2 linked regions of the Alligator mississippiensis genome follow. The protein of the gene in region 2 interacts with the protein of the main gene of each other region in a pairwise test. Links are inferred from orthologs where the notes say so. Each region holds a gene or a part of one and is shown on either strand. Other genes may lie near its edges.

Region 1 (7,913 bases), on a different chromosome or scaffold from region 2:
AACCATGCCCATATAACACTTGTCCAGTGGAGTTTAGAAGAACCCAGCATAGAGGTTCCAGGTGGAGTAGGAAGGGGAAAAACTGAAGTAAAACTCCACCAATTGAAGTATCATGTCCATTTCTATCCGGGGGAAGATGCATTCAGTGCAAAACTACTAACAGCTCCCTTTACACCCCATGGCAATGCAATAATGCCTACAGCAGCAGCTACTCCAAAAAAGCTTGTCATCTGTCCACTCTGGACACTGATGTAAACTTGCCCTATTTTTTGTTTTGCAGGTGTAATGTCCAGGTGCCAGGTTCCTAATAAAAACAGCATCAGATAATCCTGCTGTGTTGGGAGAATACTGCCACTTAACTCCCAATTTAAGTGGAGCAGGGTAGGGGTTAAGTTAAAGAGAAAAGGTGTGCACCAAGCACTGAGTCACTAAACCCATTTATTCACAGGACACTACCAAGGAAGGAAGAGGCTTGTAGCCTCTCTGTGTTGCCACCACTCCTTACTGTGCTCTCTCTTGCTCAAAATGCAGTTCCCAGATAGACATAGCAAGAAGTGCTACTGGGGAAGCTGGAGTCACAGGGCTTGAGCCACTGAGCTGTTTGCAGCCCACTACCCAAGTATAAACTGAGTGTAGAAGCGCTACCACTCAGTTATCTTTTTAAATATGCTCGCTTTGCACAGATGCAACTATGCAATGTGCAAGACAGAGATTCAGGCTCAGCTGAGTGCTGTGCCATGAGATTCCCACTAGACTTGATGACAGCAAGCACCTAATGAATAATGAGATGAAAGAAAAATAGCAAATATTGCAATTTCATCTAATCCCAGCAGAATTTGCAGTTAACTACATTCTCACTCCCTTCAGTAATATAGTCATACTTTTATCACTCTAGTTTCACAATAGAGGAAGCATGACCGTTTCACCTTGAAAAGGTAAATGCTATCTGAGAAAATGTAACAGTTAGGGGCTTTTTTTCGCAACTCTCATCCAAAAATGATATCCAAAACCAAAAGTCATACAAACTGGGATGAAACTGAATCCAGGCAAAATGAGGAAGTGATACTGGTGAAGAAGTAATCTGAGGAATTTGGGTACTACTTGATGAATGGTCCCTGCCTGCTGAACATACTGTTGGTACACAGCTTCAAAGTCCTTTTGAACATCTTGTTTCCTTTGCATATCCAAAAAAACCAAAATTGGGCAAAATGCGAACTTCCAAATAAGGTTGGCTGGAGGACTCTCCCATTTTATCAGAGATCTGACCATGGTTTTTAATGCGTTTGTGACCTTCAGGCTCACTTCCTGCAAATCAAACTGGGAACAAAGCACCCTTACCTTGAAAATAACAATGATGATACAAGATCATAGTCCAAATTAAGGTTTCTATCATAATATTCAAATCCTACCAAGAAGGCCAGCCTATGGTACTTACAGAGATCACCTCTCCTTTATATCCACAGCCAGCAACAACAGCTATGTGCTTATGGGGCTTTATCAAGTCTGCATATCAAGGAATCCTGCTTTTGTCTATGCGACGCACACAAAATCATCGAAAGCCAGGGTTAGAAGGGACATCAGGAAGTCATCTAGCCCAACCCCTTGCTCAAAGCAGGACCACCCCCAACTAGATCATCTAGGCCAAGGCTTTCTCTACCCAGGTCTTAAAAACCTCCAAGGACAGAGATTCTACCTCTTCTCTAAGCAGCCGGTTCCAGTGCTTCACCACCCTCTAGTTGTATTTCATCCTACCACTTTATCCAGGGGCATATGAACCTAATAAGGAACAGGTGGATTCATTATACATGGCTACCAAGCTTCTCTGTAGTCAGTCTCATGGCAAGGAAGTTTGGCACCCGGGGCAAAGCCCGCAGCAGCAGCCTGCCCACACCCCATGCACCGATCTGGGGGGCACATGCCCCCCATGCTTGCCCAGGAGCCCCTGCAGCTATGGGAGCCGCCCTCCCCTGTGCCCTGCCGAACTAGCTGCTTGTGGCTCCATCCTGTGCCTCTGCCGGGTAGTGCCTGTTGGCGCCCCTTCACGCTACAGCACTGCCTATAGTCAAGTTAACTTAAATCAGTTATAGCTACTGTCTGCATTTCAGCAATAGGCCAGGAAAAATAGCAGATTAAATATTTTAACATGGATGCCAGAGGGATGAGACACCAGTAACCTAAAATGTGACCCCTCTTCCTTCCCGTAATACAGATCAAAGGGTCCTGGTCAGCCAGAGGGGAGAAGAGTTTAGATTTGGTGTTTGAGTCACGCTGTCCAGTAAAGACAACCATTAGCATCCAGTTTTCTGCCACTGGCCAAGTCGGGCCACAAGCTTGTTGATACGATAACAGGAGAGAGATGACAGACAGCGCCTCAGGCTCTGCCTCCCAGTCCTTATTAAATAGCCAGAACTGTTGCTAAGACGCGCCCTCGGGCCTAGCACGCACCCCCGCGGCAGACACCGCCCCGCCCCGCCCGGACGCACCTGCGCGGCGGGCTGTGCGGGGAGCCCCTCAGGCAGAGCGGCCGGGGACCAGCTCGGGCCGGGGCCGGGGCCGGGCTGCCCGCACTTCAGCAACGAGGAAGTAACGGCGCCGCTCCCTGCCGGAAAGGGGGCGGACAGCCTGTTTGGAAAGGCTGCAGGTGCGGCTTTCGCTTTGCCTCAAGGGGCCGCGAGCAGGGGCTGGGCGGACGCCTGCCCTCGCCCCGGACCCGCACCGCCCCGCCAGCCCCGGGGCCGCGCTTCCCGCCCCGCGCACCCCCTTGCCTTCGCCTCGCCTCGCCTCGCCTCGCCGCACCGCTCCCTCGCGCTGCCTGGGATGGGGCAGGAGCCGCGGCCGCCTCGGGGAGGGAAGAAGCCCGGAGGGCGAGGGCAGGGGAGGAGGCTGGGCGGGGCGCGGAGAGGCGCTGGCCCGGGCCCCCGCGGCCGCCGAGGGAGCAGGGCGGCGCCTGGCCTGCAGGCGGGTCCGTGCGGGTGCCCCGTCGGGGCCGCCTTGCTCCCAGCACCGGGGCCCGTCGTCCTGGGCGGGCGCCGCTGCTTGCAGCCCGTGCGGCGACGGGCAGCGTCTCGCTGCTCCTGCGCCCCGCAACCGCGCGCGGCCTTTCGCCGGCTTGCTAGGCAGCGCCTTCAGCACAGTCCGTCTGCAGGGATCGCTGCCACCTCCTTTTCACTCCCAGAGAACTCCCCAAAGCTCCCCTGCGTGTGTGATGGAGGCAGCGAAGTAAGTGCTGCAGGGAATCGGTATCAAGCATCTTCACTGCGGTTTTGTCCAGCATCCATTAAAGCTGGAATTAAACAAACAAACAAACAAACAAAAAGTGAGGTTCCATGAAAAAATGACAAGGAAATTATATTGCAGGGATTTCTCTCTGTTTGCCTTGAATTCAGGTTGATGTTACCTGGTCCTGCAAAACATGCCTAACCCTCTATGAATTTAAAGATCCCTGGCCTCCATAGAGAAAGTCAAAAAGACCAAGGCTAAATTGATGCAGTCTTCACAGGTTAATCTAAAGCTGCATAGGTTGAGCCAATAAAAAAAGTGAACAGACACCAGCTTTTGATTCCTGAAGTGCAACTGCAGCCCTGCATGGTTCAGACCAGAAACAGCAGGTAGAGGGAGGGGCAGAGCATGCCTTCCTGCTCTGCTGGAGCACACCGCTTGGGCCAAGGCTAGTGGGCTTGCAGGGAAGGTGCAAAGCATCCTGGGGGGGGCTGTGAATTAATAGGAATTGCCACCTGATCAGTTGCACTAAACCTAGTAGTTTTGTTTTTAAGCTACTAACTAGTTAAATTGGTTTAAAAGTGTAATCTGCATATATTTTCACTGAATCAGTAGAAACTGAATCAGTGATCTTTCATTACTATTTAATACAGAAAACATGCTCCCCACCTTTTCCCCCAAAGAACGCAGGTACCATTTCAACAGATTTCTGTGCATATTTACATTTTATCACTGTGTTTAAAGCTTATGGATTATAACTCATTCATGCCTTTACAATCATGGTATAAAAGCAACCTATTATTTATTTTACATTTTCAGTAACTCCCAACTTTTTTATTTTCAGTTTTGACTTTACTTTGGAATTCCAAGGTACTGATTTGTCTAATTTAACATGGTAAGCCGCTAGACATTTTAGGCTTTCAAAATCAGAGAATTTTCTATCATTGATGGAAATTTTCCATCAATTTTCCATTCTTTGCATTACAGTAATAACATTAGCTAATCACGTCAGTTTGCAGTCCAGTAAAGGCAGTGGGTATGCAGTATTTGCAAAGTTTTACCTGTACTGATATGTTATGTTCTAACCATGAAATGTGCTTTTTCCTCAGGGAATAATTTATAATTTTCCATTAATGAACACTGCTCTGTAGTCCTGTATTCTATTAAAAGGACATATTTGTTATTGGTTCATGTTCTCAACTACTTCTACCACATATGAATAGAACTTTCAGGAAGACTTTTCTTTCTACTTTCTTTGCTATTTCTATTTTCTCAAGTCTTTTCCTTGTGAAACGATGCCTCTTGGATTTCTACTGAGCACCAGATCTACTGAGCACCCAATTTGTATTTCACTGATTCTACCAGCATGTACAGATCTAATTAAGATTAAATCATGTATCCTGTATCAGTCAGTCTCTCACCAGCTCATTGTATTACATACACAATAGGGGCTTTTCATGAAAAAGTCACAGCAATCCAAATGTATGTATTTGAGAATTAAGTCAGTCTACTATGCATCAACCAGTTCATATTATTCTTTACTGTAAGTATCAAAGGAAACATTTTTTCAAGGATATTGTACATTTCAAGTTTTTCCATAGTCTTTACAAAAATCACCTTGATTTTCTTCCTTTTGCCACCTGCTGGCAGAGCCCCCCTGCAGCGTCTTGCAGCCCTGTCTGCCTGAGACCGAGCACCACCTGTGCCACATAGCACAGGCCTGCCTTGGCTTGACCCGGGGGCATGCACCTTTGGGCAGGACTGGGCAGCTCTTTCTGTCACTAGAGTCTCGATACTGCACACCAGGCTCCCTGCCTTCATGGAGCCGGCCTGGCCTGATACGAGGAACCGCTTGCAGGATGTGATGGGCTAGGAGGAGGCGTAGAGGTAGCAGGGATGAGAGAGAGGGTTGGGGGTAGGGGAGGGCTTTGGGTCAGAGAGGTAGCTAGAGCTGGGCTTAGAGCCCCGCTTTTTGCCTAGAGCAGCCTGTACAGGGGGAGGCCAGCCTGAAAGGAAAGGAGCTTGCTCAGCCCAGTCCCTGAGCCCTAGTCAAGGGCTTCCCAGGAAAGGCATGGGGAAGCGCTGGGGCCTGGGCACAGACAGGGAGCAGAGCAGCAAGGGCTGGTACTGCTCACAGCCACAAAGCAGTGGATGGAACAACTGCAGCTGGACGCATGTCCTGGTGCTGGGAGGGAGCTAGTGGGGGCAGGCAGGACACTGGGATATCAGTGCTTCTCAGCACCCCACATCCTGGTGACCAAAGTGGAAAGGGGCGGCTCTGATTTTTCTATGATGAAAAAAAGAAAGGAAATGCTAAAGTGTATAGGATATTTAGAACTTGTTTATTATGACGATAGAGGCACTGCTAGGCTTCCAAATTGCTTTAAAATTGTAAATATATCAGTAAAGCATTGCCCAACTCTACATATAGTGCTGTTTCATTTTAAATCACAAAATAACAGAGATTTGGGGTATTTTAATGAGAAAATTTGGGTTCATCAGAGAATTTGGAATTTTTAAATGGGGAACACCAGGATCTTTACTGGTGAGACAAGTGGCAAGATGTAGACAGAGGAGCCTGGGGAGGGGAGCTGGGCAGGGAACAGGTTTCCCAGCTCCCACCAGGAGGGAGGTCCCAGTGCCAGCTCTGCGACTGTGGGACTCATCCTGGGAGATCCTTATCACCCAGGCTGAGCTCCTAGGTCTAGGGGCTTGGACCATGGAGCCAGCGCTGGGAGATAAGTGTCTCCCAACTCAAGGCCCTCCACCACAGAGCTCAGGCTGGGAGATAAGGATCTCCCAGTCCTTGGTTCCCTATCGGAGATATCTGAGCAGGGGGTTTGGAGTTCCCTGCTGCCAGAGCAGGGGGGACATAGTCCCCGCCCAGGCTCCTGTGGCAGAGTCTACCCCTGCAGCAGGCAGCTCCTAGGGGCAGGGAATTATTTTCTACCTCCTGGTGGATGGGTGACCGGGAGTAGATTTTGTTCCCAGTCAGGCACCTACATGAGCACTATTTGCGCCATTACTAATCGTGAGTAAATTTGCTACTTGTATTTGCAGATAGCAAAATTTACTTGGGATTAGGGAGGTTTACTGTGAAATAAGCATGTTCATGTTTACAAAAACTACAAATCATATTGTACAGGATATACTTAATGTAAAAAATTTAGAGGACTATAACTTCATTGTTATGTAGAGAACAAGAAGGACAAGCATAATTAGTGTGGAATCAGAAAAAAAAATAAATGCCTTAAACTTTGATTATTTGAGTTATAAGATGACATAACTGCTTTGTAGAGAATTGCTGGCTCTGTACAGTAGAACAGATAAGGGAAAGTGTTTGTTCTTTGTAACTCCTCTGCAACTGCTTCACTCACCACAGCCTTGAAGATAGCAAAAAGTATGTACAACTCTGATTTCCAGGTGCAAGAAGGAGGTTTGTGAACTAACCTCGCCTCCCCCATAAGTTCCTATCTTGATTACAGCAATGAAGTAATGTTTATAGCTGCTTTTTTTTTTTTTATAAGCCTCCTGATTTTGCTTTTGGGGGGCGGACTTCTTCTAAGTGCTTGGGAAATCTATGTCACTTTGGAATCCCCTCTACAGCTGTAGTTTTTTTTTAAATAAAAGCTTTTGTTAACCTGATTCAAAAGTATTCTGCGTGTGTTTTCACAACAATTCCTGGTGCCGTGACTCGGATCCAGAACACGTGCTGAAGAAGGAGGACCACGGACTGCCCCCCTCCAAACCCTGAGGCGCCAAACTTAAGAGGTAAGAGACCTAATTCAAAATCTCTTTTGGGGTTTCAGAGGAGAACTGCCTGTAGGCTCCCAACTTAGCCGTGGTAACTAGATCTAAACCTTGTTAAAAACAGGTCAGTCTAAACCTTACTGCCGGCTAAAATTTTCTGTCTGGTAAAGAATCCAATTTTCTGTCTGGTAACGTATGTTTTATTCAGGGAAAAACTTTGAAGCACCTTCATCCAACAGCACATTGGGCTTGTAGTTAATTAACTAAGGCGGTGTGGGGGAGGAGGTCTGGCTGACTAAATGAATGCGTGTGTGTGTGTATTTAAAAATATAAGCCACTGACCAGGTCTAAAACTACGGTTGGGTTCAGCAGCCCCAATTCTGCCTAACGGCAGTTTTAAAAGCAAGGGGGCCCAACTGAAACCTCATGACCCAGTGGACAGGGCTTCAGAGTAATTTTGTCTTTTTCTATCTGGCTATTAAATGAATGTGTGTGTGTGTATTTAAAAAAAAAAGCCACTGACCAGGTCTGGGACTAAGGCTAGGTCTAGCCGCCCCGATTCTGCCTAAAAAGGTAGCGTCAAAAATAAGGGGGCCCAGCTGAAACCTCGTGACCCAGTGGACAGGGCGTCTGAGTAATTTTGTCTTTTCCAAACCCCTTGTCCCAGTAGCTTCTGCTGACAGCAGGAGTAAAAGGATCCCTCTTGTGTTTCCCTCCCCATTTCCATTTTATGAGCCGGTATCAGGTCAGAAACCTTTTGTCTGGGCGGTAAAAAACTGCGGGGCAAGGCACTAAGCGGCCCGGACATCCTAAATAAGCCTATCCTACATCTCCCTGTGTGACTAAAAATGGGAACAAGTCAGTCTAAACAAGTTCCCGTCCCCCCTAAGAAGACTCCGGCGTACTTTATGTACACACACTATTCTCCCGAGGCTTGCAAGTAC
Region 2 (7,604 bases):
AGACTTGGCTTCTCATCCATCTCCAAGCATAATGGACAACAGCCAGAGTACAAGATGCATCTTATAACACAGGGAGCCAAACACCAGCACTCAGTTTGCAGCCAATTATAAGATCATAGGAAAGCAGGGCTGGAAGGGACCTCATGAGATCATCTAGTCCAGCCCCCTGCTCAGGATCATCCCCAGCTAAGCCACCCCAATCAAGTGTCTGCCTACTCTCTCTCGAAATTTCCATGAACCTGCTTGTGAAATTGTGCTTAAATGCTTATGAGAAAATGCCTGGTGTTGAAGACTTAAGGACTGTCGTCTTGCCCCCGACTGCCAGCTTTACTGAGTAGCTCCAAAAGTGACACATGGGGTTTCTGTGGTATGCTCATACTTACAGGGATATTAGTAGTGGCACCAGCTCCAAACCGTGCTCCAGCATCAAAGCCACCCTCGACAAGAACCGCTGAGCCTGGGGGATAGACAGGACCCACAGGGTAGTATGCCATTGGAACGGAGGAGCCTATGGGTCCCACAGCCACAGACTGTGCCACAGGCAGGAACAGAGAAGTACCAGGATAGGCAGCAGACATAGTGGGCATGGTGGCAGGCCCTGGAGGCACAAAGCTTGGCCGGTAGAGCTGAAGGGAAAAAAAAAAAAAAGAACACAAGTGCATTGGAAGAAATATTCCTTGCTCCAAAGCCATTTCCTCAGATCCTTCCTCAAAGTGCTGATAATGTGATAAAGGCGTAGCAGCCCGATCAGCTGCACAGATAGCTCCATCACTTCTAACGAGAAGTTTGTTCACTTTACGAGAGGTCGAGGCACAACACCCTCTTCAGACCCTCTACTTTGCTTTTGCACCATAGCAGCCACTTTGTGGGAAGCTCTGAAGGAAGTTTCTGCCATTTAAGAGAGTGGGCCAATTCAAGATCTGCAAGAGGAAATGCCCGAATAGCACCCTGGTTTAGTCACCAAGTGAGCATGTACACATGCACTTTGGGGCAGAGGTCTCATTGGCTTTGTCAATGAGCAATCATTTAGCAATCATCAGTTGAGACCGCTTGCTGCTCTTGTCCTATGAGGTGAAAGGTGTTCCAAGCTGCCAGAAATACAGGCAATGAGCTGTCATGTGTTAATAGCTCAAAATGGGAGGCTGGAGGGGAGAAAAGGTGCAAGAGCAAGAAAAGGGCCATGCCTTATACCTCTGAGTAAGCAGGAGGCGCATCAGTGTACGGTGGTGGCTGAGGAAGAGGCATGGTCTGTGGATACACTGGAGGATTACCAGGGGGCTGGACTGGGTAGGAAGGCTGTGTTGGGTATTGACCTGAGAGAGAGAGAGAGAAGAATACAGCTGGTGTTAAGTTTTACCCTTACAGACATCGGACAGAGGGTGGATGAGTTCATGGAAAGCCCCTTCTTCTGCAGTTTTTTTAAGCAGGATTGCTAGAGATCGTTAACCCTGGAGGTGTTAGGCATGCACCAACAGATACCCCCCATGCGATTCCCAGCCACAGAGCCCGTTCATCACTCTCGACCAATACAGCTACTTCAGTCAGAACTGAAAGCAAGAGGTAGCTAGCAGTTATAGTCCTTCACAAGGAAGCAGGTTAAAAAAAAGTTAAGCAACTTCCTGTGGAAAGTTTACCAACAAACCACATTTTTCTAAGCTGGCACTTCACTGCTTGGACTTCAAGCTGACTCACTCTCCTACAAGTAGCACAGATAGCAGGGCATCAACTACGCTACGTATGGATCCGTTTGCAGCTACGGATGCGTTGCATCATATATGCAAACCCCCCCGGAGCATCTGTTCAGGATGCTAACATTATACGATGCAAAACTAACCCCATCTGCCTCGAGTCACGGAAAAGCTGAGCTCCCAAAAGACGAGACTGGGTTTCTTCAGGAAAAAAAAAAAAAAGGAGGCCTGAAGCTGGAAAAACACCGATACACCCCGACAAAAACAAGGCACCTACCAACCTCTTACCCTTTTAACTGTTACGGAATGAGAGCTGATAGACCACTATTGTGACGTGCACCTTCGTGTATGGACAAGAGCAGTTGTAGGCATGAGTAAATCTGCAAGCAAAGGCTGACGGGAGGTAATAATTAATACTGCTGTTAAGTTTTGAAGTCACCGCTGCCCAGTTCTGAGTGCAGCTGACACTGTGCTCTATTTTCTAATCTTTTTTTTTTTTTCCCCTTAACCCCATTGCTATCAGGTGTTTAAGAGCGGCGTGTTTACCTACTCGGTTGCATGCGAGCAGGTAACCACAGAGAGGCCGGACTCCAGCCAGCCACTGTCAGCTCCTGTCCGGCCTCCGATTATGTTTAAAGACCGCTCGTGGATTGTAAATGCCCAAAAGCAGCATTTTAATCTATTCCGAGTCCAGGGCAGGGTGAAGGGGAGGGGCGGGAAGAGGGACCCTAGTGTGAGCCCCCGCACGGACGGCAGGTTCTGCATGGACACGTTTAACCTCTGCGGTGCCGCCAAGCGACACCGACACCTGAGCACGCACACAGGTGTACGTGTGCGAGCGTGTTTGTGAATGCTGTACGGGTTTTAACAAGCGTGTGTGCATGTGGGAATTCTATATCGGTGTTAATGAGCGTGGTGTGCACGCGCATGTGTGTGCATATTCTGTGCAGGCTGTAGTGAGTGTGTACACACTCCTCTGGGGCCGTGGACAAGGCCAAGCGCGCCCGTGACGGGGCCTGGCAGGAGGCTCCGGCTGGCCCCCACCCCCGCCTGCCCCCCCATCGCCCTCCGCAGCAGGGAAGGGGTTAAGGGCCAGGCCGAGGCGCGCGGCGCCATGGAGACCCGAACCCCCGCCCCCCGCCGCGCTCCCATTGGCTGCGCCCCCCGCCCGGCCCGGCGGTGCCCGGCGGCGGCGCTGGCCTGCAAGGGGCGGGGGGCGCTGCCCGGGCCGCACCTTTGCTGTTCATGGCGGCGGGGCTGCGGCCGGGTCGCTGCGCGTCAGTCCGGGCCGGCGGCTGCACTCACTTCCTTGTTGTTGTCACTGCGGGCTGAGGGGACGCGCGACGTTGCCGCAGAGCGTCATGACGTCAGGGCGCCGTCGCGCGGGCTCTTAAAGGGGCCGCGGCCGGGCGGGGGCGGGGCTCCCGAGTTGCTGCGTCACGGCTGGGAGGGGTCGGGCAGGGGCGGCCTGTTCCTGGCTCGTGTGTCTGTGTCTACGCGCGTGTGTGCATGTATGTGTGCATGTGTGTATATGTGCTTGTGTTTATGCATGTGTGTACGTGTGTGTGTATGTGCATGTGTGTATTTGTGTCCATGTGTATATATGTGCATGTGCATGTATGTATGTAGATCTATGCATGTATCTGTGTATATATGCGTGTGCGTGTGTGCATGTATGTGCGTGTATGTGTATATATGTGCATGTATATATGTGCGTCTGTGTGTGTATATGTGCGTCTGTGTATATATGTGCGTGTATGTATATGTACACAAGGTTCCTCGGGTGAATCTGATATCTTTTATTAGACCAACTCAAATGGTTGGAGAATAGTTATTAAGCAAGCTTTCGGGTTCAGAAACCCTTCATCAGGCTAAGGAAGTGTCAGCAGTTGGTGTGTGCTCTTCCTGGATGGAATGAACATATGTGTATGTATGTGCGTGTACATATATGTATGTGCATGTGTGTGTATATGTGCGTGTGTGCATGCGTATGTTTGTATGCGTGTATGTACACATACACAGACTAAAGGTGCGTCAGTCAGCACAGTTCAAGAGCAAGACCTCCGCTCCCTTCATCCCGCGGGATCGATTTCCAAGCAGAAATCCCAGCCCTGGGCCGGGCCTGTGCCTCCAGGCTTGGGCTCTTCAGTCACCCCAAGACCGGTTGCTGAACCACGGTCAAGATTGTCCTCAAACCGAGGGATTGCTGCCCCTGGGGCAAACCTCCCTCCTCTTGTCTGCGGGAGAGCATGCGCCTGTTCTCCCAGTGTTGAAAGACTCATCCCCGCTTTCTGAATTTTAGATGTAAACTTTTCCTGACGCCTCCTGGTTTTGGGGGGGAAGAGGAGGAGAAAAAATCCTCAGGCCTCTTTCTCCAGCTCCTTCTTAAGCATCTCAATCAACCGGTTCATTCTTCTCTGTGTTTAAGTGAACTCCTCATGAATAATGTACAGGGTTCCTGATGAATATGCACATCGGCTTGGTATGCCTGTGAGGACTTTATAAATAATTTATGAGCATCAAATGTTCTTCACCTTGCTCCTGTATGGGGAACTATAAAAAAATATTTACCCTTTCAAGTGGCAGTAAGATCAGTATAGACAGCTTGAAACCCGCCTATTAAAAATACCCAGGGAAGTGGGTTTTTGCATCGCTGAAGTTGTAAGCGCTGAAGAGAAAGGGAGGAAAGGAAAATGCATTGCCATTAGCAAGAGAAGGGTAAAACGCTAGCCGTTTTCTCGTCACGAGCTAGAAAATGGTTTCTGAAGGCTGATGGAGACTTGCTGCCTGTAAAGGCCCTGATCTTGCAATCTACTGCATGTAAGGTGCTGAGCATGGTCTCAAAGCTCATGGTGACCGGTGGGAGAGTGGAGGGTGCTCAGCATTTAGCAGGATCACCCCCACCCCTCACTAATGGAAATGTGTCAATATTACCATTCTTTCTTTCTAGTCTCCTGATGCTGCTATACAGGAAACTTCCCAGCAAAGGCAAAGCACATGTTCTTTTGTGACCGGGAGAGAAAAAAAAAAAAAGCAAGCAAAGCATTTCATTTCCACTCAGGAGAGCCAGCACCTTCCAGAGATTTTGAAAACCTGGAAGGATTTAAATATATATATATATACTATCTTGTTTGAGAAACCTGCAGCCTCATGGAGACAGCACTCAAAGCTCCATTTCTTAGCGCTGCTCTGCAAATCGAGCCCAAAGTGTCATCACCCCTGAACTGACGCCCTTAAAACTAAAGGCTACTTTCAAGTGCTAGGCTGTGCACAAAAGGTCTGCTTGGGCACATCTACACGTGCGCTTTAAAGCGCATTAGCCTATTTTAATGTGCATTAAAGTGTCACTTTAAAAACAGTGCTATTTAGTTAATGTGCATTAAAATAGGCTAATGTGCATTTTCTTAGTACCTACACGAGCAGCAAGGCTGCTCCTATGTGCTGTAATTCCAGCGTGTTGAAGCAGACTCAATTAATCAAGTCTGCTGGAGCATGGCAATTACCATCATTTTGAAGCATGGGGACAGTGATAAAGGAAACACTCAGGGCGCTTTAATTAGAGTGGCACTCGGAGCTGCTCTAATTAAAGCATCTCCCCCAGCCTTGCATATAAATGCCCCTTGTGCTTAGAACAAAGCATTCTAAGAGGGACTGGGACTGGGAGGGTTTTCTGTCTGTGGGTGGCCTGGGACACTTGTTTGCACTTAGCAGCTAAAATGCAAAACATTGGAGTTGCAGGAAAGTTTAGATCTGCCCAAAGTAGGCCAATGCCCCAGGGAGTGGCACTGCTTTTTTCACGGTGATGTTGCGCAGGGCCAAAACGTGCAGACCAGCATGGCAACACACGTGCTTTAGTGAGCATTAAAGCATCACCAAAAAAAGTGGGCTTTCACTAATGCACGTTAAAAAAAAGCTAATGTGCCTTTTTCTAGTGGTACTAATTTTAATCGGCATTAGCAAAAGCACATTAATGAACATGTCGAGGTGCCCATTGACATGGATAATTTTTGGGGGGGTGGGTTCCCCTCAATTTAAATCAAACTCACACCTGGAAAGGCCCTGGGTTTCCCAACGTGTGTGCAGTACTTATACTCCTGTGTTGTTAGCCTGAGGTTAACAACAGTTGTGGCCACTCAGAACCCTGCAGGTGCAGAAGCCTAATTGGTGATATCAAAATAGTAATTAATCATTAGCTGATAATTACTTTGTGACAACTCCTGCTTGCTACCCCCCCAGGGCAAAGTTCTGGCCCCATGGAAATGAATGGGAGTTTTGTCCATGAGTTAGTTGGGGGCAGAGTTTCTCTGGCGGGACAGGTGAAGCCTGCAGGCCAACATAAAGACATGGTAGACTTCTCTCTCTACCTGAGCTCTAGGCAGTGGGAAAGGCAGGCCTAGTCCCAGAACATCTGGAGGAAGCTGGTGAGTGGCAAATGCATCAGTTGTGGAATTGCATATCTCTGAGGGGTGTCAGAAACTCCATGGTTAAGTGCACTCCCTTTGCTACGTATGGTAGAGAAACCAAATGTCTAAACCAGTGAGAGGCAAAGACAAGAAAGCTGGAATACTAATTTGGGCTTCTACCAAAATATCCTGTGGACGTAGCAAGCATTGGAACAAGGGGCTTGACAATCGGCCAGAGCAAATGTTATTTCTGTCAACTATTCCTAGGCCACATTTGAATATAATTTTTTTTCTTCTCTCTCTTTCTCTGACCGAGCTATTTTCTGCAGTAAAGATTCTGGCGCTTGTAAAATAAATTCATCTTGGAGATAAATTAAAAATGCAATGTGTACCCTTTTATCCCCCTTATGTATTATATTAATAGTATGCCAATGTATGCAAATGAGTGTGAAATTCAACTAGATGGAAGTATTTAAATATTCATAATCACAGTACAGCATATGCAAACCAGACTCTCAACAGAATTGTGCTGCAGAGGCTCAAATAACAGCTGTACTGAAGCAAAGACATTTTGAACATAACTGATCCGGTTACTAATGAAAATGTTGTCGGCAATGGGGGTGTATTTATTAATGTTTGTGCACTGGTATTAATATCTGACTCGGGCCTCAGTTCAGGCATTTAAGTTTCTGCTTAAGTCTAATTGAAGTCAGGCTTGCATTTATGTACTTCCTTGAACGGGAAAGAGCTGCCTACAATGCCTTGTTCAAGGAGTTCCTCTGAAAAAATAGATCTGGTACTCATCAGATCTTAAATATGACCTTGTTGTGATCGTAGAGAGGAGCCAGTCAACTCTGAATTATTTTAATTCAAAATACTTTTTTTTTTTTTTATTCCTGAAAATAGGATGTAGAATATAAATTAGAAGCAGAAACAGCAGTTACATGCTTTTTACTATGAATGCACATTACCCAGGTTTCAGGGGCGTAGGTTATAGCCGTGTTGGTCTAAGGCAGGGGCGGGCAATTATTTTGGGCAGAGGGCCACTTACTGAGTTTCGGAAAGCCATCAAGGGCCACATGACAGGCAGCCCAGGGCAGGTTAATTAATTTTCTAATTTTTTTAGGGGCCCTGCAGACTGGATAGAATGGCCTGGCGGGCTGCATCCAGCCCCCGGGCTGCATTTTGCCCACCCCTGATCTAAGGACACTGGCAGACAAGGTTCTTTGGGTAAATCTGATATCTTTTATTAGACCAATTTAAACAGTTGGAAAAAATTTTCTTAGCAAGCTTTTGGGCACAAACACACCCTTTGTCAGGCTGATGAAGCTTCATCTAGGTTGTATTACCCAGGTTGTGATGTATGTATTTGTTCATGTAAAAGCGGACGTGTATTTTAGAAGCATGTTGTGACAATCTTATGAACTTTAAACAAAGGTTAATTTTAAGGCAAAGATTTAAAATCAGTCCAATAGGCAAAGATTTAAAATTAGTGCAGTAGCTTTTCTGCAAA

What was found.
Region 1: the proteins of DAZAP2 (region 2) and PLSCR1 interact in binary tests that used the Homo sapiens proteins (3 or more experiments, as listed by UniProt). The two-hybrid records come from large-scale screens. The link is inferred for Alligator mississippiensis from reciprocal best matches to the Homo sapiens genes DAZAP2 and PLSCR1.

What each region holds. Positions count from the first base shown.
Region 1 is NC_081830.1:59,169,729-59,177,641, forward strand, and holds the start of PLSCR1 (phospholipid scramblase 1), read right to left. Parts: upstream 3,004-7,913; 5' UTR 2,766-3,003; intron 2,605-2,765; exon of another isoform or gene 2,484-2,604; intron 1-2,483. UniProt on the Homo sapiens protein: Catalyzes calcium-induced ATP-independent rapid bidirectional and non-specific movement of phospholipids (lipid scrambling or lipid flip-flop) between the inner and outer leaflet of the plasma membrane resulting in collapse of the phospholipid asymmetry which leads to phosphatidylserine externalization on the cell surface.
Region 2 is NC_081838.1:10,212,165-10,219,768, forward strand, and holds the start of DAZAP2 (DAZ-associated protein 2), read right to left. Parts: upstream 3,050-7,604; 5' UTR 2,936-3,049; coding exon 2,923-2,935; intron 2,082-2,922; exon of another isoform or gene 1,977-2,081; intron 1,314-1,976; coding exon 1,192-1,313; intron 627-1,191; coding exon 384-626; intron 1-383. UniProt on the Homo sapiens protein: In unstressed cells, promotes SIAH1-mediated polyubiquitination and degradation of the serine/threonine-protein kinase HIPK2, probably by acting as a loading factor that potentiates complex formation between HIPK2 and ubiquitin ligase SIAH1.